7 linked regions of the Tribolium castaneum genome follow. The protein of the gene in region 6 binds, or shares a complex with, the protein of the main gene of each other region. Links are inferred from orthologs where the notes say so. Each region holds a gene or a part of one and is shown on either strand. Other genes may lie near its edges. The genes, in order: MED9, MED18, MED16, MED1, MED21, MED8 and MED23.

Evidence for each region.
Region 1: MED8 (region 6) and MED9 share a complex: the UniProt entries of both Drosophila melanogaster proteins name them as parts of the mediator complex. The link is inferred for Tribolium castaneum from reciprocal best matches to the Drosophila melanogaster genes MED8 and MED9.
Region 2: MED8 (region 6) and MED18 share a complex: the UniProt entries of both Drosophila melanogaster proteins name them as parts of the mediator complex. The link is inferred for Tribolium castaneum from reciprocal best matches to the Drosophila melanogaster genes MED8 and MED18.
Region 3: MED8 (region 6) and MED16 share a complex: the UniProt entries of both Drosophila melanogaster proteins name them as parts of the mediator complex. The link is inferred for Tribolium castaneum from reciprocal best matches to the Drosophila melanogaster genes MED8 and MED16.
Region 4: MED8 (region 6) and MED1 share a complex: the UniProt entries of both Drosophila melanogaster proteins name them as parts of the mediator complex. The link is inferred for Tribolium castaneum from reciprocal best matches to the Drosophila melanogaster genes MED8 and MED1.
Region 5: MED8 (region 6) and MED21 share a complex: the UniProt entries of both Drosophila melanogaster proteins name them as parts of the mediator complex. The link is inferred for Tribolium castaneum from reciprocal best matches to the Drosophila melanogaster genes MED8 and MED21.
Region 7: MED8 (region 6) and MED23 share a complex: the UniProt entries of both Drosophila melanogaster proteins name them as parts of the mediator complex. The link is inferred for Tribolium castaneum from reciprocal best matches to the Drosophila melanogaster genes MED8 and MED23.

The regions. Positions count from the first base shown.
Region 1 is NC_087395.1:15,956,684-15,960,979, forward strand, and holds the start of MED9 (mediator of RNA polymerase II transcription subunit 9), read right to left. Parts: upstream 2,801-4,296; 5' UTR 2,760-2,800; coding exon 2,659-2,759; intron 2,603-2,658; coding exon 2,497-2,602; intron 31-2,496; coding exon 1-30. Other genes in the region: Mrgn1 (E3 ubiquitin-protein ligase MGRN1), read left to right, coding at 2,951-3,033, 3,079-3,211, 3,260-3,519, 3,567-3,754, 3,803-3,954. UniProt on the Drosophila melanogaster protein: Component of the Mediator complex, a coactivator involved in the regulated transcription of nearly all RNA polymerase II-dependent genes.
Region 2 is NC_087394.1:9,286,578-9,289,130, forward strand, and holds MED18 (mediator of RNA polymerase II transcription subunit 18), read left to right. Parts: upstream 1-1,140; 5' UTR 1,141-1,298; intron 1,299-1,349; 5' UTR 1,350-1,351; coding exon 1,352-2,020; 3' UTR 2,021-2,053; downstream 2,054-2,553. UniProt on the Drosophila melanogaster protein: Component of the Mediator complex, a coactivator involved in the regulated transcription of nearly all RNA polymerase II-dependent genes.
Region 3 is NC_087396.1:16,567,347-16,571,307, forward strand, and holds the start of MED16 (mediator of RNA polymerase II transcription subunit 16), read right to left. Parts: upstream 2,801-3,961; 5' UTR 2,684-2,800; coding exon 2,610-2,683; intron 2,562-2,609; coding exon 2,418-2,561; intron 2,373-2,417; coding exon 1,924-2,372; intron 1,875-1,923; coding exon 1,722-1,874; intron 1,677-1,721; coding exon 1,480-1,676; intron 1,430-1,479; coding exon 888-1,429; intron 1-887. UniProt on the Drosophila melanogaster protein: Component of the Mediator complex, a coactivator involved in the regulated transcription of nearly all RNA polymerase II-dependent genes.
Region 4 is NC_087399.1:8,918,250-8,922,446, forward strand, and holds the start of MED1 (mediator of RNA polymerase II transcription subunit 1), read right to left. Parts: upstream 2,801-4,197; 5' UTR 2,659-2,800; coding exon 2,640-2,658; intron 2,577-2,639; coding exon 2,437-2,576; intron 2,388-2,436; coding exon 1,672-2,387; intron 1,621-1,671; coding exon 1,389-1,620; intron 1-1,388. UniProt on the Drosophila melanogaster protein: Component of the Mediator complex, a coactivator involved in the regulated transcription of nearly all RNA polymerase II-dependent genes.
Region 5 is NC_087401.1:8,393,385-8,396,172, forward strand, and holds MED21 (mediator of RNA polymerase II transcription subunit 21), read left to right. Parts: upstream 1-1,461; 5' UTR 1,462-1,649; coding exon 1,650-1,691; intron 1,692-1,739; coding exon 1,740-1,955; intron 1,956-2,005; coding exon 2,006-2,179; 3' UTR 2,180-2,288; downstream 2,289-2,788. Other genes in the region: FAM21 (WASH complex subunit 2A), read right to left, coding at 1-86, 132-327, 471-663, 711-1,030, 1,082-1,201; Set1 (histone-lysine N-methyltransferase SETD1B), read right to left, coding at 2,329-2,502. UniProt on the Drosophila melanogaster protein: Component of the Mediator complex, a coactivator involved in the regulated transcription of nearly all RNA polymerase II-dependent genes.
Region 6 is NC_087396.1:15,801,447-15,805,318, forward strand, and holds MED8 (mediator of RNA polymerase II transcription subunit 8), read right to left. Parts: upstream 2,609-3,872; 5' UTR 1,525-2,608; coding exon 1,006-1,524; intron 960-1,005; coding exon 594-959; 3' UTR 501-593; downstream 1-500. UniProt on the Drosophila melanogaster protein: Component of the Mediator complex, a coactivator involved in the regulated transcription of nearly all RNA polymerase II-dependent genes.
Region 7 is NC_087394.1:35,203,805-35,208,086, forward strand, and holds the start of MED23 (mediator of RNA polymerase II transcription subunit 23), read right to left. Parts: upstream 2,801-4,282; coding exon 2,387-2,800; exon of another isoform or gene 2,342-2,386; coding exon 1-2,341. Other genes in the region: stress-associated endoplasmic reticulum protein 2, read left to right, coding at 4,205-4,282. UniProt on the Drosophila melanogaster protein: Component of the Mediator complex, a coactivator involved in the regulated transcription of nearly all RNA polymerase II-dependent genes.

The sequences.
Region 1 (4,296 bases), on a different chromosome or scaffold from region 6:
GCTGTACTCAATCCCGGGCAATAGCCGGATCTGCAAGGGGTTGGTAGTCTAAGATTCGAATTACGGTCGTTCTGCACTCATCTGTTTAACGGATGAAGCTTATTTTATCAAAAATGCGAGTAGGTAAAGTCCATTATTTATCTTTAATTGTTAGAAAAGTAATTGGTTCAGAATTCTTGTCTCCGGTTTGCCTATGGCATCAGGAAATTCCAACATACTTGGGCTTTTGAGGAAGGAGTATAAATAAAGTTTTTCAAGTTTTTTCACTTTGAATCATTCTAGGTTCATTTTCAACAATGTAATATTATTTAACAAACACAAATTTAAAAGTGTTGAAATTAGACAATCGAATTTTGCATGATTGTGTAAAGTATTGAAAATTAACAAGAAAAAATGAAAACTTAAAAAAATAAAGATCAAATAATTGAAAGTGGACGTGAGGCGACCATGCTATATAAAAATCAAATTAACAAAACTTGGACTTTATTTATATCACAAAATAGTTACTTCCAAGTCCCACTGATGAAATAATCTTCCGTCGTGACATACATAATGTTACCGTAAGTCGCACAAGTCTCTTTTAAAAGTCCCTTTTTTAATGTAGCTAAAGATTATAATAGCATCCATCGACAGTTCTAGAAATTGAATCTTCTTATAGTTTCAAGGCTGCAATATTTGACAAATAATTTTCCGAACAAGGACAGTCATGGGAATCTACTGGTTATTTTGTACTGGTTTGTTATGTCAATTTTTTTTTATTTTGTCTTTATTCATTTGCTGTATATTTCTTCTTGTTTGAAAGGTTTAAGTGGAAGAGCAGAGAACAGCAACTTTGCTGTTCATTTGAAACCACCTGTTTATTCGTACATATAACGGGTTTTTATTATTATTATTTTTCCTTAAGTTGTAGATACTAATCACCTGCCTCATCTAAAACTACTTTCAAATATACAGAGTAATTCAAAAGTACTCGTACAATCTCTCGGGTGCTGATAAAGGACATCAAACTGAATTAAAAGTTCCTATGACAAAAAATTGTTTGAGTCTTTTTTCACGAGATAGCTACAGCTCTTCAAAGTTAAATTTTTAAGTTAATTTTTTGATGCTTCGGACCATATTTTTTTGACCTTAATTAGCAGAAACGACATCTCTTGCAACATTAAACAAATACCTGTTGAAAAAAATTAACAAATAATGTCTAATTATGTGCAAAACAATAAAAAAACTTGTAAATTCGACAATATCTTAAATTCAACATATTAGGAAACAAAAGAGAAACAATCGATACCGTTGCTAAGGAATACAAACTTAAAAATATATAAAAAAATCTGACTTCATTTTTGTGCTTAACTGAACGTCTTTTATCACCATACGAGTGTTTGTCGAACATTTTTGAATCATCCTGTATAGGATATTTCCGAAATTAGCTACAATACAAACTTATTTTTTTAAGAATGTTCAAAGTTAAATTGGTTAACGCATGCAATTAGGAACGTAGAAAAATTATGAAGTTTGTTAAAAGTTGAATAACATAATAAAAGTTTTTGTTTTTATTTTTCAAAGATTATTAAATTGTCTACTTAAAAACAAAGTTTCAAATGCCTAACCTTTATAATTAAACAAATATTTGACTTTAAAATTTAATTTCATCAACAATGCAGATTATTCATGAGGATTACTGTTACCATAACCTTAGCAACTTCACCACGGATCATTTGTTGGAGTTTAAACAGGGATTTAAAAATTCGCCATAGATAAGAAAATTTTAGTTATTTTACTGTGAAAAATAACTGAAAAATAATAAAGTTATTATTAGCTGAAAATTTTACTCTTCGACTATTGAAACAATTGTGAATAATTTTTAATGACTTTTTTTAATGTTTTAAGTTAAGTATAATCTTTTGAGTAATCAGCACTTAACTGTTAATGTTCTTTAATAGACAATTTAAAGGTCTTTTAGATGCAAAAATAAAAAATACGGTATTTCATTTAAGTTTAAAGTTATTCAAATTTTAACAAGCCTCTTAACTTTTTTTATTTTCTTGATTGCAGTGAGCTAAAAAATAATTATATCCTTAAAGTTTTCTAACGTGGAACCATAACTTTTTTCATTATAGTGTAATTTGTAACATATTTTGCTCAATACTGAAGTCGTATTTGCTATTTCCCGCTTCAATTATCTGATTGTTTTCTCAAAAACTACAATATTACAACCCCACCTCATTTTCTCAAACAAGTGGACTGAGGTTGTTTTTCCCCTGTAGCCTTCAGTTGTAAAATACTGAAAAAAGGCTAAAATTCGACGCTTTTTAGCCCCCTTTACCATGGCCTGGAACATTTTTTTTAGGAAACCTATTCGCGATACAATCCTTTGGACTTTGGATATTATCTCTGATAAAAAGATATTTTCATCCGGTAACCAGAAGATAGTACAGTATGATCCTAATTCGTATCCCCTACTATGGGTATGAAGTGATTAGGGTGGAAGAAAGTTACCTCGGCTCTGGCTTGGTCCAAACGTTTTTGCAACTCGAGCACCTTCTGGGAACAGTCTTGCGACTCTCGTGCCTTGGCGGTGTTATCGTGGTGGTCTTTCTCAACACTGAATGATTATGCAAGACATTACGATTTTGCCTGTCACTAATTTTATCAACAAACCTGCGTATTATTTCGTAGATAATGGGCAAGATCTCGATATTCAAATTTTCCACCGTGACATTCCTCTCTGACTCCTGGTTGTGCTCGTCAGATTCCATCATAGCAAGGCATTTCCTGAATTTTCATTGAATTTTCTTTCCCACATGAATTTTCTGACACATTCACTCAGGGATTTTGTGTCCCTGGTGTTGGCGACGACGCCTCAAATGTCACAAGTGTCAATAATAATGTCAAACTAAAAACAACAATAATTTCTGATTTTGGAAAAACTTGGCAATTTCAAGCCCGCAGAATGGGTTCGTTGGCTAGCAGACAACACGCAGGGGTCGAGGAAGTGGACGTGGTGTCAAACCACGCGTACAAGTACCCGCCCAGGTCTGGTATGTCGCTTTGCTTTTTTCCGTACCAATTACCTTGAAGGCGTTTTTCTGAAGGGAACTACTTCGGGAGCCACTTTATAATGGGGGGCGAGCGCTTCGACACCCCCCAGCCCGAGTCTTACCTCTTCGGCGAGAACTCCGATTTGAATTTCCTGGGCAGTAGACCAACCCCTGTAAGTAGCCATTATGCGGTTGTTTCGCCCCCACAGTGCCGTTTCTAGTTTCCCTACCCCCCGCCCCAGCCTAATGAGCCCACAAAAACGCTCAAAAGTCTGGTGAACATCCGGAAAGAGTCGCTGCGGTTTGTCCGCGCCCCTGCTGATTATTCCAAACCGGCGGAAAAGAACGAGCGGGACATCAGGGATATTGAGCTGGGCAAGAGCTCGACGTTTAATATCGAGTTCACGTTCGATTGTGACGTCAGGTGTGCAATAACAATCTACTATTTTTGTACCGAGGAGTTTACACCAAGTGGAGTCACGTAAGTTGGGTTTTTGTCATGGGTTTGCAATTTTATGGGGTTTGAAGGTACTTGCCGCGTGACCCTAACACGACCTCCGAGACTTTTCATTACAAACGCGGTGCGAACCAACAGTTTTGCCAAATGACTCACGTTTTTGATCCCTCGAAGTACACAGAAGAGGAGTTGTTGTATGATGTTGACCGGGAGATTATTCCAATTGCCATTCACTGTGTGGCGGAGGAAGGCGCTGAGGGTTGGTTTGACCCGTTTTTGAATTTAATTTTTGAATTGATTGTTCCAGAAATGAGACAATCACACACAACTATCGCCACAGCCGAAAAATTGTCCGACGGTACTTATGTTTTAAAAGCTCTCAAACAGAAATTATTCGTTGACGGTCTTTGCTACCTCCTGCAGGAAATATACGGCATTGAGAACAAAAATAACGACAAGGTGATTGATTATTTACATGCCCTACTGGGCATAAATACACAGTGAAATCTCTCTTAACGGACACCTATAAGCGGAACTCTCTCACAAACGGACAATTTTGTTGGCACTAAGCCACAATAAATAATACACATAACTTTAAAACCTCTTCTGAGGCCAGAATCTAAATCAGTTTACTATTGAATAAAACATGTATTCTTTTTTTTCTGACGAATTGTCATAATTAACATGCTGTCTGCTTGAAGGCGAGATTTTGTGTTCAAGGATCTGATTTGCATTGTCTGCGTCCGTTTATTGGAGCGTCCGCTTAAAAGAAAAGCAATTCCATTTAAAGTAAATTAGCTC
Region 2 (2,553 bases), on a different chromosome or scaffold from region 6:
TATTCAATATGTTATAGGCAGATAAATCTACCTTTGAGTCAACGACATAAACTTCAGTGTGATTTATTGAAATGTATATAGGGCAAGAATGAACTTTTCGTGTTAAACATTTTGATGAAAAAGGACGTTTAATCGTTTATAAAAGGCATGTATAGGTGTGTTAAGTTTGCCATATAATAAAACATAAAATACAACAACTTTTCTATAAAAGCATTTTGCAGAACTCTTATTTATTATTTTCACTATTTTCCTCCTTTTATTTGTGCAAACGAGCCGTTGATGTGAAATTTTGGTGTGAAAATTACTGGTATCGCCACAAATTGTGTTAAATTTAAGTCTCCAGAAAATTCGGTTTTAAAAGTAGGGTTATGTTATCATTTGGAAATGTCAAATCTTTCATTTTTATGGATTTTGTGTCTGTTTCTGCTCTTTTAGAGCGTTATTAATTACTATTGAATATGTTATGGACAGATAAATTTACCTTTGAGTCAACGACATAAACTTCAGTATGATTTATTGAAATGTATAAAGGGCAAAAATGAACTTTACGTCTTAAACATTTTGATGAAAAAGGGCGTTTAATCGTTTATAAAGGGCATGTTAAGGTGTGTTAAGTTTACCACGTAATAAAACATAAAGTACAACAACTTTTCTATAAAAGCATTTTGCAAAATTCTTATTCGTTATTTTTACTATTTTCCTCATTTCCTGTAATAACTGATTCGCCCTTCGGAGGCCATTCTGAATACTGTAATGAATTTTTAAAGATAAAATTTGCGAAATCGGAAAATTTTAAAGAATCTTTAAAAATTCATTAAGGTCCCAAGGGGTGTTTGTCCGAACATGATTTTTAACAGTCAAAGGCCCTATCGAAGAGCTTAATCTCCTGCAAAAATAAAGAAAATTGCATATAAAGGGGGTGAAAAAAAATCAGTTTGCATTGCTTGAATATGAGAATAAAAAATGCAGAAATTAAATACAGTTAAGTTTTAATTTGTAATAGAAACTCATTACAATGGTCAGGAGATGTTCTACAAATGTGTTATGCAAGTCAGCGTAACAACTTATTGATGTTTTTATAATGAATTACGATTATTTTGATAATTTTCCTGGTGTGAACTTGGCTGTAGAAAACGAGAATGGTGGGGAAACGGTGCTAGCTCCATGCGCGCAGCCCTTGTCTGGTCGACTGTAATTTTCATGGTGCCACCACCATTTTTGGGGCTGTCTCCGCCGACATACACTGACAACTTACACTTCAATCAAAACATAACCTCCAAAAACTGTGATAATCTTCAGTAATTGTCGGAAATAGGCCGTTTTCCGCAAAGTGATTGTCACTGTTACAGAAATGGGGACTCCTGGCACGGCCATCGACTCCCTAAACGCCGCCCTCAAATGCAACATAATCCCCAACCAGGAGTACCTCCTCCAGGGCTCAGTCTTGGACCAATACGTCGAGGTGCTCCTCCACCGCTTGCGCGGGCTGTGCGACAACGTAGACAGCGGCCCTGAGTCGTTCCACGACCACGAATTGTGTTTCACCCTCCGGGCCACCAACCCAGGGGCCCCCATGGTGCTCCCACTGCGAGTCCGGCGAGCCCTCGACGTGCCCGACGCCGCCTGGCAGCTGCGCTACGTGGGGCAACAGGAGCTAGGCGACAAGAACCGGCCAACAGTCGTCAGATCGAGTATTGACATGGCTTGCAGTTCCACAATTGTTGAATTTTTGACCGAGCTTGGATGCAGAGTGGATTTTGAGTACATCGCCCGGGGGTACATGTTCCGCAAAGGCAGGATGAAAATCACAGTGTCGAAGATTTTCAAAATGGGGAGCATGACGAGTAAGCCGGGCGAAGGCGTAGAAGCGATTTCCCAGAGTTATTTAGTTGAATTGTCCGTTTTGGCCCCGAGTGGACAAGATGCTATTGCGGAGGATATGAGAATTTTTGCCGAGCAGTTGAGGCCGTTGGTTCAGCTTGAAAAAATCGATTATAAAAGACTTGGAAATTTACCGTAATTTATTTATAAATAAAATACAATTAAGATTTAACTAACAACAATCTATATAGCCTTGAAAAATCCTTAAAAAATATTGCCAAACCTTTCCCTAAAACCCTGAATATGTCTTTTTATACTTTTTTAAATAAAAAAGTTAGGGGGTGTCTACTAAAGTGATGACACCTGGTATTTTAACTACTTTCCCAAACTTTGACTGATATCTTAAAAACTAACAGCAATCTACACAGCCTTGAAAAATCCTTAATAAAATATTGCTTAACCATTCCCTAAAACCCTGAATATGTCTTTTTATACTTTTTTAAATAAAAAAGTTAGGGGGTGTCTACCAAAGTGATGACACCTGGTATTTTAACTACTTTCCCAAACATTGACTGATATCTTAAAAACTAACAGCAATCTACACAGCCTTGAAAAATCCTTAAAAAAATATTGCTAAACCTTTCCCTAAAACCCTGAATATGTCTTTTTATACTTTTTTAAATAAAAAAGTTAGGGGGTGTCTACCAAAGTGATGACACCTGGTATTTTAAC
Region 3 (3,961 bases), about 770 kb from region 6:
TGAATTTTACTCGCAAAATTCGAGGTGTTGCGCCTAAAGCACACATTAAAAGTGTTTCCGGTTCCAATAACAATATTCATCAAAAAATTTGTTTAGTCAGGTATCAAAATATTTTCAAGGTGGTGGCACTTCCGCTTATACAGAAATTGGAAACATTTTTTTTAGTGAAAAGCTATATTCTTTATTGCTTTTTTTTGGCTACTCAAATTTTTCTCAAATATTTTGTGTTTATGTTTCCTTTTGTTTTCTAGATATGTATTTATATTTTTTTAAAACTGTTTAGATTTGCACCTTCCCTTTCAAAAATCGACAACATTGTCATTTATAATATTTCGAAATCGTATTTGGGCATTTAGAAGAGAAAGCTTTATTCCCTTATTGGTGTTTTCAAAAAAGTTAAAAAAAACATTTTAAAGTTACGTTTGGGAACATCTCATTTTTTTTAATGTAACCCTAAGCTTTATAAATAACTTGAAAAATATTATGGTGGTTATAGTTGGCTCGATGCAAAATTACTGGTAGTTTTTTTCTTCATTTAGTAAAGAAAGAATCAATTTGGCAAAATTGTGTTTTAAGTAGTTGAATTTCTTCAAACGTAATCTTTCAAATTTAGAGTTTGTCACTCTTTACGGAATTTAAAATTTGAAAAAAATCTAATCATTTTCTTTGAAATACTCTACAGGAACTTCGATTTTTGAAAAAGAAGGTGCAAATCAAAAAAATATAAATATTACAAAAACTGTTAACTTTGCTATAAAAAAACTGGTAAAAACTCCTTAAAATATCTCGCATAATACAAAAATACAGTAAAATCATAAGCTTTCTATTTAAAACAATAATTAAATAATAAAATTTTGTCACCCAATGTCGGTAAACTAGGAACCTACCTGCATAGCGATATTTTCATGCACAAATACTGCACGTAGAAAAACTGTTGCACTGCCGAGGGCTGGCGATTAAAACTTTCGGTGAGTCGGTCACATATCGCGTCCAACATTCCAGGTCTTAACACTAGCAACAAGTCTAACCAATCAAAACCGCTCATCATGCAATACTCTAAAATCGTGGTACAGTAAGGTACACTTAGAGGCGTTGAGCTGTCGATTTGGGGCGGTAACTTAAACATATGCAGACTATCGTCTGAATCAATCACGAGTAAAATATTGCCGAGCCAGGACATGTCAATGTTTGAGATTTTGATGCTAGTTTTGGGGTATCTGGCGAGAGGTTCGTCAAAATAACGCGGACAAATGGTCAAAGTGGTGCTGACCAAATGTTTTAGAGTGTCTCTGTAGAGGCAATGGATGGAATTGTCGGCAAATGTGGCCACGACATAACCACTTGAAACATTATTTAATAGACTTAGTTTACTTGTAGCTAGTGAAGTGACCTTGCTGTTATACTGGAAGTGGCACTGGTATTGCCACAACTAAAAAATAAGTAAGTATCGATTATCACATGATGAGATAATAGACGTACGACAGTGTTAAAAAACTGGGGAGTTTCAGATTTTCCTAGTGATTTGTGAACCGGCAAAGCCTTCTCTCTCAATTCCCACACTTGCAAACAGCTTATTTTATCACTAGTGGCTGAAACAACCACCGAATCTGCGTCCTCTCTCATTATCCATTTGATATGACTTATGTGGCAATTTTTTTCTTTGGAAACTTGTTCCACTAAAACAAACGTTAAACAACGGCTTAAATGACTCAGTTTGTTACTTAATGCTTCCTTAGGCGCCTCAAATAGAAAAAAACTGAGTAAAGACTGGCTTGTGATGACACACTTATCTTCAGCTTTCCTGACAGAGACTTTATAACACTGAATAGGCATTGATAAGTCTCCGTTACTCACAGCGAGCAAAAAATGACCGTCTACACAATAACATTATTTGGTGTTTAAATGATTTTGTAAAAAACCTACTTTTGCCATAGCAAATATCAGCAGCTTTGATAAAAATCCTAGTAGGGGCCAGGCTTTCTGTCGCCATGACCATTGCGACCTGGCTCGTGCTTTGGGGGAGTAAAATCGAGCACAACATTCCCGTCGTTGTGAGTAGCAGGGCCCCACTGGCAGGGCGCCCCCCAAACTGTTTAACAGAGCAGGCAAACTTGACATGGTGAAACTTTTCCGTGTACAAAGCGCTGTCTTTTTTCTCAGAGTTGAGGCAGATTTTCTTGCCCGAGTGGAAAAACGCCGCTGACAGAATGTGCTCCCCTTCTAGGACAGTCTGGAGGACAAGGGTCCAGTCATTTAGGATGTGGTCTTTAGCTTTGTAAATTTTTATCGAGCCGTTTTCGTCCGCGACTAGCAGAAGGTCGCCCGTAAAGTCCCACTGGAGCACCGAAATGGGGGAAGAGTTTGATAATATTCTGGAAATGGAGGTTTAATACAGGAAAGTGTTTTTGGGGACGTACTTGTGGACCTGCCAGGGACTGTTTAAATCGCAGACGTAGACATTAGAGTTCCAAAAGAGGGAACCCGCTTCTTCGATATTGCATTCCGTGCTGAAAGCAACAACGTTGGAGCTTGAAATCGAGCATAAGGTTGACTTCTCGAGTCTGGAATTCAAACGGTTGGTAAATGGTTAACTTTCGTTTGGGCGGTACTTGGTGAATGATAGATGCTTGCTGGTGTCCACCGATTTATTTATTTTCTTATTAATGGTGAAAATATGGTCCATTTTTCGGTATTTATCTAATGAAGCATCTTTTTAAAACTTTACTGAATTGGCAGATTTTTGACACCTGACAGCTGTCGGGCATACGCGTGAATGTACGCTGACGAGAAATCTTCTATTCTCATAAAATTGCTCACAAAAGTAAATTACGAAGTGTTGTTCGAATTGTGTAAGCTCTGAGTTTAGGTTTGATGGATAGAAAAAAAAATAAAAGGTTAGCGATTAGTAGAGAATTCTCATGAGTGTACATTCTCGGGAGATGCAATACTGGTTGCGCGCGAAACATTGCCAACGTTACGAGGGACAACATAAAAGTATCCAAATACGAGAAGTACCCACCTGGGCGGAGTTTAATTGGATATTGGTGTTTAAATACTGGATGTCTTATTTCAGTTCCTTTTCAAACCTTGCAATAGTAAAGCAAGTCCACATGCGACTGCTTTAAAAACCCCTGATTTAGTAACCTTTTTTTAAAGTAGTCATGCCCCAGTGGGTGCTATAAGAATTTAGCAAACTCTATTTCGTGGAGGTGGTTTGAATAAATTGCAACGAAAATTGTAAAGGACTTTTATTGTATATTCTAAGTGTATAATACAAAAAATATTTTCATAATGGCCTATAACTGTATAAACAATGCCTTTAATAACAATCTTAAAATAATGAAGACATAAGTTGTGACTAAAACAACCAAGAAACAACGCCTTTCATAAATTAGTACCGATTTTTAATAACTGTAGGGCATCTGGGAAATAACGCTAGAGATATCGGATAGTGTCACTTGAGAGGAATGTTATTCGTTTTTAAAAAATAAATGCAAAAGCGTAAGTACTTAGGGGAATTAGGTAATATGCACAAGCAACAATTACACATCGTTTCATTCTTATTGGTAGACACGAATTGTGCGTTTAAAAGTTTCAATCGGGGAAAATTTAACGTTGTCGAATTTCACTATAAAATTACATAAAATCTTAAAATAAATTATTATATAAAGAATATTTAAAAATAGATGAGCCAGAGCGAAGAGCCCCATTCACGATGTATAAAAGGAAGCAAAGTTTAAAATTAAAATCGCAAAATAGTGGTTTGTGATACCTAGTCGACGTGTAAAAATCTGATAAAACTTCACAAACCATTATTTCAAACACAAGCATAGTCACGACAAGAAATAAGAGTACGGGCATATCTATCTATTGTTACATAGAAATAGATATCCACCTCCCCACTAATGGTAGTGTAAGTCAATCGAATTACGCAGCCAGTCAGCAGGGGGGTGGGCGTGAC
Region 4 (4,197 bases), on a different chromosome or scaffold from region 6:
AAGGGATTATAATGCGAAACTGGTCCTTAATCTTAAAAGAAAAGATTTGATAAAAAAAAATAAAAACAAAAAAATCATATTTTTTTCACATTTAGATTTAGTGTTATTATTAAAACTTGTGAATCTAAAACTAATTTATTTTTAAGATTTTTAAAATTAATTAAATTTTAGTAGAGAGGCTGAGGATAGGTTGTGAATAACGTGTGAATTTTTTGAGATTTTTTTCAAATTTGAAACCCCCTCAAACTCCAGAAAAAGAATGCGTTGTATTTGGGAGAAGGTTCGAAGAAATTATTAGGGATGCCTTGACTAAGCATTAATTTATATATTATTAAATATTCAAATTATTAATTAAAAAAAACAATTACAGGACATAAGTTTCTAATTTCCAGTCTAATTTTGATATTGTTAAAATCTTTAATAATTAAAACCTGCCTAAATAATTTTTTTAGAGTTATTTTCATACACAAGATTTTTTTGTCCCATCCGCCATGTGTAAACAAAAAGTAAATTAATCGTGGTTTCAAAAGTTTCAACAAAATCTACCATTTATTTATAAAGTAATTCTTAGAATTAGTGCCTTTTAAATTAACAGAATTTTATAAAGATTGTTTAGCGATAAAAATGTAAGGTCTTTTTTGTGTCCCGTCCGTCACCAATTTGTATTCTTTTTCCTGCTCATATTTCAAATTTTACAAATGTGGCTCCGACTATTGTAGGTTGCAAATTGTTTGACTGGTACTAAGTTCCTATAAAGAAAAATTCACTTCTACTGATACTGGTGATAAAAATTGGTAAAAAATCTATAGTGTCCCGTCCGTTAAAATGAAATGGCTGCTTATATATCAAGAATTGAGGTGGTTAATTAACTATTTTTTGACGTGAAATTAATTGTTTTTTTAATAATAATATAATAATAATAATTTATTTGTGGCAGTAAAACAGTTACAATATAATTAATTACAACAAGAAAAAAAATACGATAACAAAATTAAAATTTTCTACGAGTTGTTCCTACCACAAAGTGGACCAAAAGACAGCAAAGCTGATCAAGGTTTTGACCCAGACAATAAATGAGAAATAACAAAAAAATAAACAATTTGATTGAAGAAAAAAATAAAAAATATAATAATAATAAAATATCTAATTCTATTTAACAAAATTATAGAGCAAAAAAACACATAAGAAAAATCATTTTGTAAGAAACATTTTGTATTTATGTTTAAAATTGCTGATTTTAGAATTTTTTAATGTCAGAGGAACTTCATTAAGTAGATTATTTTTGATTATTTACCATTTTTTGGCTCTCGAAAAGTTTGTACCGCAAACTAGGAGAATCAGTAGTCAACATGACCATTTTTTTATAAATATTATTGCCAACCACTTACCACAAAAAGGCCCTTATTGTTCCCAGACTCCATTTTCCCTTCACTGGCGTGATGTACTATTAAACTAAGTAACGGATGAGTTGCTGATTGTTCTATAGTATCCAATTCAGTAACTTGTTGAATTTGTCTAACTAAATTGACACACATTGGCATTGGTTTGTTTAATTTGAGGACAAAACAGGCCGGAATTGCTGCACTATTTTGGCTACTTAGCGATGAAAAAGACGGCGTACTAAAATAAATTTCCCTCAAAGAAAAAAAAATTTTTTTTAATAATTTTTACCTTTTCCCGTTAATATTCCTATTAACTGTGATGAGAGTGGTCGTTTGCAACTTATGTGTAGCGGACCCTTCCATACACACCGTCACACTGTACCCCAGCGCTTTACTAACGATCGTATCAACAGTAATAGGTTCAATATCACATTTCTCAACATTTAATAAATCATAAGGAGAGACAAAATAGGTGAGTTTCATGGGGTGTCCCCCTCGGCGCTTCTCCAGCACCCCAACCGGAGACTTATACAGCAGGTTGAAAGGTTCCTTCATGAAAGACTGCAAGTGAGCCAAGGTGCTCAAATCAGACTCCAGCGACTGCAAGGCTGTGAACGCCTTACACTTGACCTTTTTCTCAGCATTGAGCTGGTAAATCGAGGCAAAACCTTCCAACTGGGCAGTGAAATCGGCAAAATCGCCACTAGATAAACAATTGACGAGCTCAGCGCAACTCTGTTGCTCCAATTTACTGTCATGGTGCACTTTCACGTCTTTGACGGCCCCCGTCTGGTCGAGCACTATCTCCAGGTAGAACATGTCGGAGGAGATGAAGAGCTCCACCCCCGAGGGGCCCACCATGAACTTGAGCCCCAGCTGCCGCGTCAAGCTCTCCAGCCGCTCGATCATGCTCTGCAAGGACGTCACTTTGATGGAGTGCTGCAGAGTGTCGAGGCATTTCTGGTGCTGGCTCTTCTCGACGCTGTCCAACGCGTAGCGCTTGTCCTGAAAGTAGGGCATCAATGGAGGCAGTGCCAGACATGACATAACCTACAAGCATGGCCATTCGCACATTTTTGGATATCTCTGTCAAGCTTTTGTACTGCGACGCCTTCGAGCGCAGCTTCTCCATCAATATCTCCAACTGCCAGTCTTTGGATTTGTCCACAACGGACGGTGGCATCGCTAAATTGCCTTAAAAGTAAACAAAGTTGTAAATGTCAAAAGTCAAACTCTTGGCTGGGGCGCGCAACCCACCGTTTGTTACGCGATTCATGATGAGTTCGGGCGAAATTAACGTTAAATGTTCGTAAACATTTTCTATTTGGGGCGAATTAAGGGAAAAAAACCGATTTTTCGAACATACATCAGCACCAAACAAAAACTTGACAGTTTCGTTACTTTCCCCAATTTAGGGATATTTGGCTACGCCACCGGCGCCCAATTCAAACTCGTGTCTGATAATAACAATAACAATAAAAATATTCAAGTGCTTTTCCATTCATTTGTGTTTACCAACTCTCAACTTTATCAAGATTTGATACTTTGGAGTGCTTTGAATTGGTGGCACATATGTTGTGCTTATTGCAACGCAAATATTTTAATGAAATGTGGTCGTAAAACAAACTCCCGGAATTAATCCGCGTTTTTTACCAACGAATTTCGTATTAGATCCGTCAATGACAATTAAAGCCGTAATTCGCTACAACTTTTCAACTTTTTAGATCGCAAGAAGTTGCTGACACGATAATCTCCTCATCTTCCCCCAGAACTGGAGCAAATGCCCGCTAACACATCACAACTAAGATAATAGTACACCATAGGCACATTTCCAAAATTTTGAATAGTTTATTCTCGTTTTTTTTTTTATAAAGAAATCAAATACGTTGTGCGTTAGTTTATACCACATAATGTTTTTTTTTATTATTTTGTAGGCATTCAACAAAAATCACATAAAATTGCTTAGTTTACTGTATTTCAAAATTTCTTAGATAGATGTTTTTTACAAAAAATGTTTCCAAACCGTTAAAACATGATATGAGGGAGTTTTAGAAGAAATCAAGCAAGATTGACTACTTTATTTTACTCCATGTGATTCAGATAAAATGAAAAGCTTTCAAAAACCAAATGCAACAAAAAATAATTTACACGAAGGGTGTTTTACATTTTATTTCTGTAATAAATTAATAATAGCCCCCGTCACCTTAGGTATCGTCTGATATTAAAGAAGAACCTTGGTCCCCTTTATACCATTGTATTTGCTGTTTCAAAACTATAAAAACGTCAACGTCACATTTTCTCACAAAATTTGCTGTGATGTGTGCTGTTATAAATTATTCATGCAGTTGAAGAAAATAATAACTAATGTAATTTATACTTTCAATGAGATATCTAATCATTAATAACTATTTTACAATTTTATCAACCTTATTTAAAAAATATTTGGTAAAGTGCGTCGTTGTTGTTTTTATAGTTTTGAAACAGCTAGTGGCAGATTTAGTGTAATAAAATTAAAAGAAAAAAAATTGTAGTAGTTATTTTTTTTAACAAGTTGCTTTGTAATACAAGCATAAACTAAATAACTCAAAATTGCCAGAAATCACGTAAATACATTAGTTTAATGAGTTATAAAAATTCATCCTTTTAGTTTTACGAATAGTTTTATTGAATTTTATAACAAAATTTATATTCTTCTTCAATAAACATTTCCAGAAATTAATTAAGTGTATTTAGAAAACATTGGTATCATTATTAATCTTGTTTTTCTTAAAAAAAAACAGAATAAAATTAAACGCTTTAAAGACAGAGAAGCTTC
Region 5 (2,788 bases), on a different chromosome or scaffold from region 6:
ATCATCGTCATCAAACAAGCCCTTACCCCCTGAAAACAACCCCTTAGGTTCGTCCAAAGGCGGCGGTTCATCGAAAAATAGGTTATCTGGAATTAGCGTTTAGTCTGCGGTCCGCTTCCAAAAACAATTACCGTATTGTGGCGTTTTCTGGATTGGCCGTCGATTGACGTACTCTTGATCAATCACGTTCCCCAATTTCGCCGCCAACTCTTCGGCAAAGTTGGTAGTTGGTTGCACCGGAACTGAGTTTTCACTATCACTCGAATTGACGAAATTTTTCGGTTCAGTTCGCAAGTCCTCAGAACTGGTATCAGAGGTGCCCTTGATCTGGAAAAAGAACCAGATATTGCCCATGGCGACTGGATCGCGACTAAACAAAAAATTCGGTTGGCCGGTTAATAGACCAATAAAATTATGATAATGAATGGATCAAGTGCAACTCAACCAGTGGAAAAACATGTGTAAAGTACCTGTGTTCTGTCGGGAATAATTGGCAACTCTGATTCTGAGTCGCTTTCACTGAAATTATCTGAGACTTTCTCAGTTTCGCTATCGCTGGACGAGTCCTCCAGGCCCACGTGCCACGTCTTTTGCCACTCTTCTGAGCCGATTACGTACGGAAGGGGGCGCTCCAGGTACAAGTCTTTGGGTCTGAGGACAAAACTGGAAAAGACAAACTAGTTTTTGTAAATTATTTAGAAAAAAATTACTTGGGCAAGTCGATATCGTCGTCTTCACTGTCACTGACCGACACCTCAACCTTCTCAAAATACGTCTCCAAGACCTCCAAACCCTTCAAAGCCGCCAACCTGATTTCCTCAGTCTTATCAACCTCTTTCTCCTCGGCTTTCGCCTCAACCGGCTCCTCCAAAGTCTCATCGTCCTCATAAACCCGACTTTCAATAAACTGGCTGTTTCGCAAACTTTGAAACTCGTTTTGGGCTATATTCAACTGGAGACTTGTCTCAGACAGGGAGCTTGTCAAATTTTGCAAGTTATTGTTGATTTCGGTTGTTCGAGTCAGGAGATTCTAAAAATTGAACGCTGAAACGGTTCAATGTGGGCCAAAAATGCGAAATACGTCTGCAAAAGCCTTGAGAGTGTTCAAAAGGGCCACATCTCCGGCTAAATTCCAATTGTCCGAATTTTGGATTATTTCGTCCATGGACCATGGTCGCTCCCACGGCTTGGCCCCGGACATTTCTAAAGCGCTGAACAGGCCTGTAATTGCTATTTTTCATTAATAATAATAATAATTTGACATCTGTCAAAAACTGACTTGGGGACTTTCAACTCGTGGGTTGGCTATTACTCCCCGGTTTTGCGTTATTATTTGATTAAATAAAACCAATTAATTTGTAAATAAAACCGTTCTACTATATTTGAAATCAGGCGTGATAACTAAAATGTAACTTCGGCCCGGTGGGATTAATTTACGCAGACTTTACCCAACCAGATTTGGGTTGGCAATCATGTGTGTTTGTTTTTGCAAGATGTCATTCACCTTCTAGTATTATTCTAGTTATTTCGTACGAATTAATATATTTTGTCGCATATTAAACCTCGGGAGATAACAAATTATCATCAGTGTTGGTTTTTATGTGATTTCGGGTCTTATCACTTGTCGGTGATTGGGTAACATAACCTCAATGGCCGATCGTTTGACCCAGCTCCAGGATTGCATAAATCAGGTAATTCCCCCTAAGACTGTACCACTAATTGCATTCGTGTTGTCGCAGCAAGCCGAGCATTTCTGCAACAGCATTGGGATTTTGCAACAGTTCGCCCCTCCTAGCAAATTCCCAAACTTCGACAGGAGTGGCTCCCAAACCCCCCAGCAACAGAACCAAGAAGACTACGTCCAGTTATTCACAACGTTGATTGCGCGCTGTGCCAAAGACATAGATACTTTGATTGAATCGCTCCCGAGCGAGGAAAATTCAACCGAATTACAGGTACCTATCTACAATGACTTGGTCCGACCGCGGACTAAACACTGTTTCAGTTGCAAAGCTTGCGAATTTTGGAATCAGACAATCAAGAGTCTGCTGAGCGTCTCGAGGCTATAGTTCGTAAAGGTCAGGATCTCTTGGAGCAAATCCAGGCGGCGTTGAGCGACATCGCCCAATCACAGCTGGACATGCAGCATTTGACAAAAGCGGGGAGTAAGGATAGTTAAGTGAGCTGTTAATGAATTTTATTTGCGGTTGTGATGAAAAACAAACACAAATAACCATGTACTATTTACAGAAACATATATACAAATAAAAAAGATAATTTAAATTTTATATAGTAACTAACTCGGTTTAAAGTCTGTCTTGTTTCCCTTTAATTAAGTGTTCCTCGACACGTGGCCGCGCCACACAGACACGGGATTTTCTCGTCCTCGATCGGGAATTTGTAATCGTAAGTAATTTCCTCGTTCACACCTATGCTCTGTTTCGAGTAGATCACTATTTTCTTTTGCGACTCGATTGTGATGACTTTGGCGTAGCAATTCGGCTGTAAAAATCATTTTTTCGGGTTATGGAAGACTGTCGCTTAGGAAACGAAACGAGATACAAAATCGTACCCAAAATGTAAAAATGAGGGCGCTTTGAGCATTATACTGTCTCGGCGCCAAGTCGTTTTAAATTAATTTAAAAACAAATGGACAAATCAAGAACACAAGAAAAATCCTACGAAGAAATTTATGGAGAATAAAATTTTCTATTACACGTACACCAAGAATCATTTAAAAACACATTGTACCTACACCGTTGAAAATGGAAATATGTTGTCGCAAACT
Region 6 (3,872 bases):
AATTGTTGGTCAGTATTTTAAGAAACAAAAGTATATTAACAAATTAGAGAGTATAAAGAGTTGAATTCTTTTATTGTACCACTTTGTATATAGGGAACAAAAACTTAGGAAAATTCTCTTGCCATGTAAGGAAAATATATGACCATAGAATAGTTGCAATTTATGCACAAGAGTATTTTATTTGTTGTTTGTTATATTTTTTTAAATGCGTATTATACGTAAACAGGGTCCAGTCACCCGCGTTACGTTGTAGAAAATATTTTTTTAAGTTGTTAATTTTTGTTTGACTGGGTCCCAAGTATTCTAAATGTTATATGTTTTATATTTTATATAATGCGTAGCATGTGCTAACATACATCGTGAAAATGTTCAAGTTCCGCTGTACTTATTGGAAAAGCCACCCGTTCCGACCAGCCACACTTCAACCATTTGTTGATAGTATAGTTTCAAAGTCTATAAAATTAATGCTTTTTATAATCTACTCATTACGCTACAAAGTGTTAATCTTTGTTTCCACTGTTATATTTAGTTATTTTTGTAAGATTATATCTTAATAAATAAATATATCTCCGTACACATTAAAAACTATTTCACTAGCGTCCATATGGATGTATTTGGGTGGCACTTTTGATGTTAGTCTTAATAGCAGAGGGCGCCTTATTCATCGTCATGGTTTGCGTGCTGGGGGGCATCTGTCCTTGCCCGGGAGTGCCCCCTGGGCGCCCCTGCGGAGGCACCATCATCCCTCCCGACGTGGGATTGGGCTGACCGTTAGGGTTCGCCCCCATCTTGAGTCCCTTCCCCATTCCAACAGCCGCCACAAGCGAGTGAGTATCAGCCACACTGGAATTCTGCTGCGTACTTCCCCTGGCGGAAGACTCAACTTCCCACTCCTCCCTCGCTTTACTCACCAGTTCCCAAACGTGGGACACAACCTTTTGATACGCAGCAATTTGTTTCTGAAAGTTTGCGTTGAAACATACTCTACCAAAAATTTTAACATACCTGTGCGTTCTCATACGATAAAGTTGACGCCTTGTGTTCCAATTGCATCATTTTATTCTCCGCCAACGGTTCTAGTTTGGTTCGAAGATAATCTGGGACTAAATCATGGGCGAAGGTTGTGACTCTGTGTTCGGTCATTTGGGCCAATTGTTCGTCCCGCTCGGGGGACAACATGAGGGGCAGTACTGTGAGATTTCTGAGGGTGGGGCATTTGTCGTGGCTTAAAACCTTCGAAAGGGAGGTGAGTTGGCCGGACATAAGGGCGTAATTGTCCAAAAATGTGGGCCAGTTGAGGGTCTCATATTCATTCTCCACCTTGTAAATCATTGAAGCTATCGATGATTTTAGGTCGTTGACACGCTGGATTATGGAATCGAGAGACGATTCGAGTTGTTTTTCTTCCCGTTGTTGCATTTTGCTGTATTTTTGGCGCTGTTTACAAAAACATAACCTTAACCACGATGACGGTATGTCGGCTGTGGCATTGCCGTCTCGAACTCCAGGCCTGCATGTTGACATTGTGACGTCACAGTAAGAGTCTAAATGATCATAACCTAACTTTCTGAATTTTTGCAAAAAATTAATTTTAACTATGTTGCGTCCAACGTTTTATGCAAGAAACGACGGAAAAGTGTATCTAAAGAATCCTGATACTGCAAATGTGGTCAACGAACGGTCAACTATAATTTTTATAGTGACATACGTTGTGATTTAAAGTACCTTATCCGTTTGTTATTACCCGAAAAACATATATTAAAGTTTATATTTTTTGATAGTTTAAACCATCTAGCCGTACTTAAACGTCTAAAGTTACGTCTATTAATACAAAAATTCTCCTTATGGGCCTAAATTTTGAATAACCGCGACTTAAAGACGACCGTTTTATCCAAGTTTTAACACAGGTTCTTATGGAATGCAACATGTTATTATTCGCTAAATATGTTTTAAATTAGTCGTAAAAGTGTGATCGAAAGTATAAGAATATGACGAAGAATTTTACGTCATCTCTAGTCACTTCGTGATATTTTATTATAAAATCATCCCGAAAATATTTCACATAAACACGACTGTTCTTGGTAACAGTCCAATTAGTTCGGGGTATCTTTCTTGACCATAATGATCGCAGGGATTCTTGTTTGGGAAAGGAAAACATAGGTACATAAGGACCATTCATGTTAGACACACAATTGGGAACACAACACTTATTCGGCATTTTCTAAAATTAGGAATGCAATAGGATTAAGTATGTTAGGTTTAGAGACTGAAATATGCCTTATCTGCTTATTTATTACCAAATTAAACGATTAAAAACAATAAAACCAAATTTATAAACAAAAATAATGCAAAACTATCCTAACCTATAATTGTCAAAATCACGTCACACAAGACTATAAACACACAAAATTCATTCCCTACAACGCAACCACAAAACAACAAATTCGTAAACAACAACAAATTACTTAATAACACTCTCAAAAACACCAAAAAGTACAATATATTCAAACGATGCGAACAAATGTCACGACTCTTACGATGACGTCACAATAAACAAAAGCTAGTAACCTGACGGCCTGGAGTTCGAGACGGCAATGGCTGTGGCCCTAGAATAACACTTTAATAGAAGCGGAACATAATGGTTGGCAATGAATTCCTAGCTGAAGCCATCTAGCCGCATCATCACGTACTAAAAATGGCGCGAATTTAAAATAATTCCGATTACTTTATATTTTTTTAATTTTTGCTCACGTCAAAATGATGCCAATACCTTATCAAATACAATTATTATGAAAATTTCTTAATTGTATTTGAAAAGGTGGATGCACAGACAGCACAGATGGAAGAATTTTACCCAACATGACACGATCACATTTAATGTTAAAGATATTTATTAAATCCATTAAGTTTACGAAACTAATAGTCGTCACCGAATCGATGATAAAGACATACTTGCAATCAGCCAAACTGGCACCGGTCTGGCACCTTATGTTTGCAACTTCTGTCTATGGGAGTCTCCTCGCAGTGTGACTCACTTGCGGTTCGATCTCAAAAAACTCACTTTTGGGAAAAACGCACCTATCTACGTAAACCTTCTGGAGCTCATTACTACGTTATATTTTTGGAGATCATGTTGTTCCTAACCGATAGTAGGCAATAGTCTAACCTAAAGACGACATTTTGATCCACTATAATAATAAAAATTAACGTGATATTATAAAAAATAAACTCAAATTAAAATCAACAAAAATGGCGATTCAAGTAAAAAGTGAGTGAAAATAAAAATTATTTTTCTAATGTTATTTTCAATTTGCACAAGAAAATTCATAGTGTACGGTCATCAGGGCACTCAGAGGAATCGTTTGGTGTAAGTTTCAGCTTGAAAATCCAGAAGTAGTTAAAGTAAAAAATTACCAAGTTATACTTTATGTTTTATTACGTGGTAAAGTTAACAACACACGTTAACATACCCTTTATAAACGTTTAAACACCCTTTTTCATGAAAAGGTTGACACGAGAAGTGCATTTTTCAATAAATCTCACTGAAATTTATGTCGTTGACTCAAGGTAGATTTGTCTGTCCTTAAACATGTTCAATAATAATTAATAGCGCTCTAGAAGAGCAGGAAAGCACACAAAAAACATTAAAGTTAAAATTTAACACTTCAGAAGAGATCATAATACACCCTAACCCTACTTTCTGAACTTTTGTCCTTATCTGGCAATAGCACATAATAAAGGTAGAGATTTCGACCCTAAATATCCTATCATAACGCTCTGAAAGGGCAGAGATGGAGACAAAATTCATAAAAGTGTAAATTTTGTCATTTTCGGGTGACAACATAACCCTACTTTTGGAACCTACCGAATTT
Region 7 (4,282 bases), on a different chromosome or scaffold from region 6:
CGGGGGCAAACTTCTCGGGGTATTTCCGGTGAAACTCCAAGTGTTTCTCGTGCCAGTTGGTCTGGTTCCAATGATCGGGCGAGTTGTCTTTGACGAAATCCTGCACCCGATTCCTAAACTCTGTAGCTTTAAGCAACACCAACTGGATGATGAACGAACAGACTTGAGCCTCGCTCCCTTCCTGCGTCCGCAGCGCCAAACACAAGACCAACCGATCGATTGTCACAATATTGTACTTCCAGATCATGTCATTGATCGTATCCACGCATTTGTTAACATGTTGCCCCCCAGGACTGTTACTAAACTCGAACACGAGACAATCACAAAACTTCCTCAAGTGGGCCGAAAGCGCCCTTGCCCCAATCCTCTCCAGGATTTTGTAGGCAATTGGCGTGATGTGATCAGTCTCGAGGAGCATTTTCCACAACAAACAGAGGAAAAGTGGGGGCGCTCCCGCAACCCCAAAATGCGCCATCATGTCATTTTCGTTGTTCATGGACGACCACTTCCGGTACTCCTCCTCCACTGCTTTCTTCAATTGTTGTTTGTTTTCTTTAGGGACGGCATGTTGCGTGAAAAACTCGGCCAGAGCCCTGGGGAAGCATTCGAGGGTGTGGGGGGCCCACGCATGGGGGGTACTTTGTGCAATGGTCGCCAGCAACTCGTGACACCACGAGCCGTCGGCCCCCGTCACGTGCGTGGCCCTAGCTAGGGTCAAAACCAGCGCCCGATTCAACTCTTCCGATTCCGCCGAAATTAACGTCTTGGGTTCGGCTAAAAAGCGGCTCAGTTCGGGCTGAACTTCGCCACTGCCCAGCCCCGTGATTAGACGCAAAGCGGTCGATTCGACACATAAGTGCAGTTGGGTTTGGTTGGCTTGCGGCACCGCTGCCAACGAATGCAAGTGGCTGAGTAACTGGACACGGTAGTGGGGGTGGATGTGGTGCATCCGATAACTAAACATCTCCAGAAGTGTGTAAAGGGTGCCCCAAGCGTGTGACTTGTATACGGTTGGCAACAACTGGCTTATGAACCCTTTGATGCCCAACGATTCGATCTCGGTGTACACCAACAGGCGACTGTACGTTTCCACCAAAGCTGGTGATAGTGGCATTCCTAACTTGGCCTGTGCTAGTTTAATCACGTGTGTGACAATACTATGGATTAAGCTCATTTTCGAATGCACAGTTAATGAGTCCAAGACGGCCATGCTTAAAGGCGCGGTAGGTGGGGCTGTTGATTTGGGGCTCCCTTGGATCGTCTCAACTAGCGCTGCCATTGGCTTACTGTAATAATCGGGGTTCGTTGAGTAGGCGTTGCACAACAAGGCGATTCTGTAGTCATTTCCCATCGCTAACACGGTGTTATTAGGGGGCACCAACTGTTGGAGGAAATCATGATGGTTGCGTAGTTTGGCGGGAATTGGCCAAGTCAAGTTGGTCATTTCGGCTTGCGCTTTCTTAGTCAAGTGGATCCAAATGCACGTCATTGCCATCTGTCTCGTACACTGGGGCTGGTTGAAGTCCGGAACGGGCAAAGGGGGCTCCTGTTCCGGAAACAACAGTTCGTAAAGCCGCAAAACTGGGAGGAAATTCGAGAGGGGGTTCTTCTGAATCGAACCGGAAATAAACTGCAAGAGGACCCACATGAGTTGGTCGCGCCCTCTCCGCAAGTCGCGCCCTTGCAGTCTCGAATGCAACGATATAACAATGTTTGGGAAACTCGCAAATTGGAAAAGAACAAAATAAATTAACTGGGACGACAAGTGCAGCCATAACCCTTGAGTGGCGCTCTCATCGCCCTCATTTTCCGTGCGTTCCAGCGCCAAAATCACCAACTCGACCAGTTGTTCCTCAAGGGCGGCACAGTGTCTCTTGTGCTGTTTCTGCAACCCTAACATGCCACACACCATGTCGCGACTGTACGGCTGTTCCAGAACGTATCGTAATAAACCGGTTTGCTTCTCTAGTAATTCGGGAGCGTACGGTAAAGTGCCCTTAAGCGAGAATCGCAACGTGCACGGGTCAAGTTTCCAGGGATTGACCAAGTGTTCGGGACAGCCGCTGTGCTCCACAACTGGCCGCATTTCCGCCTGGCCTACGATAGCCACCATTTGGGCACAGGCCCGAAAACTGCCAACGTAATCGGAGAAGAGGGCAGCAAGGCGCCAGTGGGGGCAGTCAGGGTAGGCCTTCTGGAGCTCGTTCACTAGGAGATAGCCAGGCAGGAGGCACGCGTTCCTGTCCATGATTCGTTCAGCGACGCTTAAAAGAGCCTGGGTTTGGGGCTGCAAGCCCGCGTTCAAGCGCCAGGGGAGACTTTTCGCCTTCTCGCAACATCCCTACAATCAACAATCAAACAATTACCACAACAATTCCCCACTTACTTTCATAATTTCGCGAACGCCCTTGTATTCAACCAAATCTATAATTTTCCGCACGAGTTTAAAGCACTCGATCCAGAACCGCGCATTGGTGTGTTGTAGTTTATCGAAATTCATCACCACCTCACACACGATACGGGCCCCAATGGTACCGTTGCGCACGACACTTTCCAGGAGCTCCATCAAGAGCTGGAGCTTGCTTTGGGAACATAGTACAGCAGTGTTGAGGTACTGGCGAAGGGCGGTGTCTAGCTGCTCCTGGGGGATGCTCCGCAGGGCTGTGTTCAACTCTTGTTGCCATACAGCCACCTTTTCCTTTTCGGCACTGGGGCGGTGCACTAGAAAGCAACTAAAGGCTTCTTCGATGCCTTCAACTTTGAGAATGTCGGTTAGGACGTTTGTTAGTGGCTCGCCCATCGTGTCCACGGTTATTTTTCAGGCGAAAACATTATTTTGTGGTTATTTGAATGGGATAATAACGGTAGGTTATGTTTGGCCGACTACATGTTTAGGCAACACATTATACAAGCGCCTAACACTGCAGAACCGTATTCGATTATTTTGACTTGCTGGGTGAATCCTCAGAGATAATAAATAATTGCGTGCGTTGTAAGATGTTATCAACTCTCAAACAACGTCAATCTAAATTATTCCATACCTAGCCACATTGTAATAAAATTCATATCAGCCCGAATCTATTCGTTTATTTGCATATCCACTTCATACGTGAAAATTTGTTTGCTTATCTTTTAATAAAGGCAATATTATTACCGCACGTCTCGTTCATTATGCGCTTAAAGAGTTCTTTTTGTCTCACATTTCGATATGAACTCACAGTTCATAGAACAGGTGAGGTGTCACTCATTTAAATCGTTTTAATTTATTTGTTTCTTCTCCCTAGGTGCAAATTTTAATGCACGCTCAACAAATTAAATGTGCGGAAAGTATTTTTGGGAAATCAAACTACATGTGGCTTTGCAGCAAAAGAACTCCCGTTATTTGGATGTCGACGAAAGATGAATTCTTAATTCGACAAGCCCTAACAAAGGTACAATTTAATTGTTGCAATTAAACGTGCAATTATCCTTCTTTAGGTCACTCCTGACCAACAGGTGAAAGTTATGAAACAATTATTGACTTGGCTGGATAATAATCCCGAAGTCCACTCTTTGAAAATCCCTGAAATGTCGCTAAAGCTCCTCAACAACATGGCTAATGCCAATGCCATGAATGAAAGGACTTTTTCAAGAATGAATAGTTTCAGAAACAGTCTGAGACGCTTGTCCTTAATTACGAACCGAATCGCTCCCGCAAACACACCCAGAAGATCCGTAACTTTCAACGACGTTCCCATAATTTACCGCATAAAATACTGACAAAAAAGTAACGAAACCTTTACAATATCTATGTAAAATTTGTGCCGAAATAAATGCACCTTAAAATTTTTGTTTTTTGAAAAATCTGAGTTAAAAATCAGGGTAAAAAGTCAAATTCAACGTTGTTTTTGATGTTTGAAAAAAATGCATAGAAGATAGGAAAATGACCAAGAAAACTAGGCATATACTTGATTATCATAAATTATTGCAAATTGAATGAACCCATTGGAAATTTCTAGCACTCCCTCCCTTGTTTGAAATTCTCCACGCGTCCGTGGCGCATGCGCATTTTCATCTTACGTGTCAAATAAACGTCAAAAAAGCGCCTCCCTTGCCCCTCTCCGCACTTTTCGGGCCAGTGTCGAGGCACGGACGTGTCAAAAACGCGTGTGTATGTTTTTCTGTTGAATTATTTCCACTTTTCCGTATTTTTTTCCTGTGAACGATGGCTCCCAAACAGCGGATGCGTTTCGCCAACGAAAAGGCCAGCAAGAACGTGGTCTTGCGAGGGAATGTGCCCAAA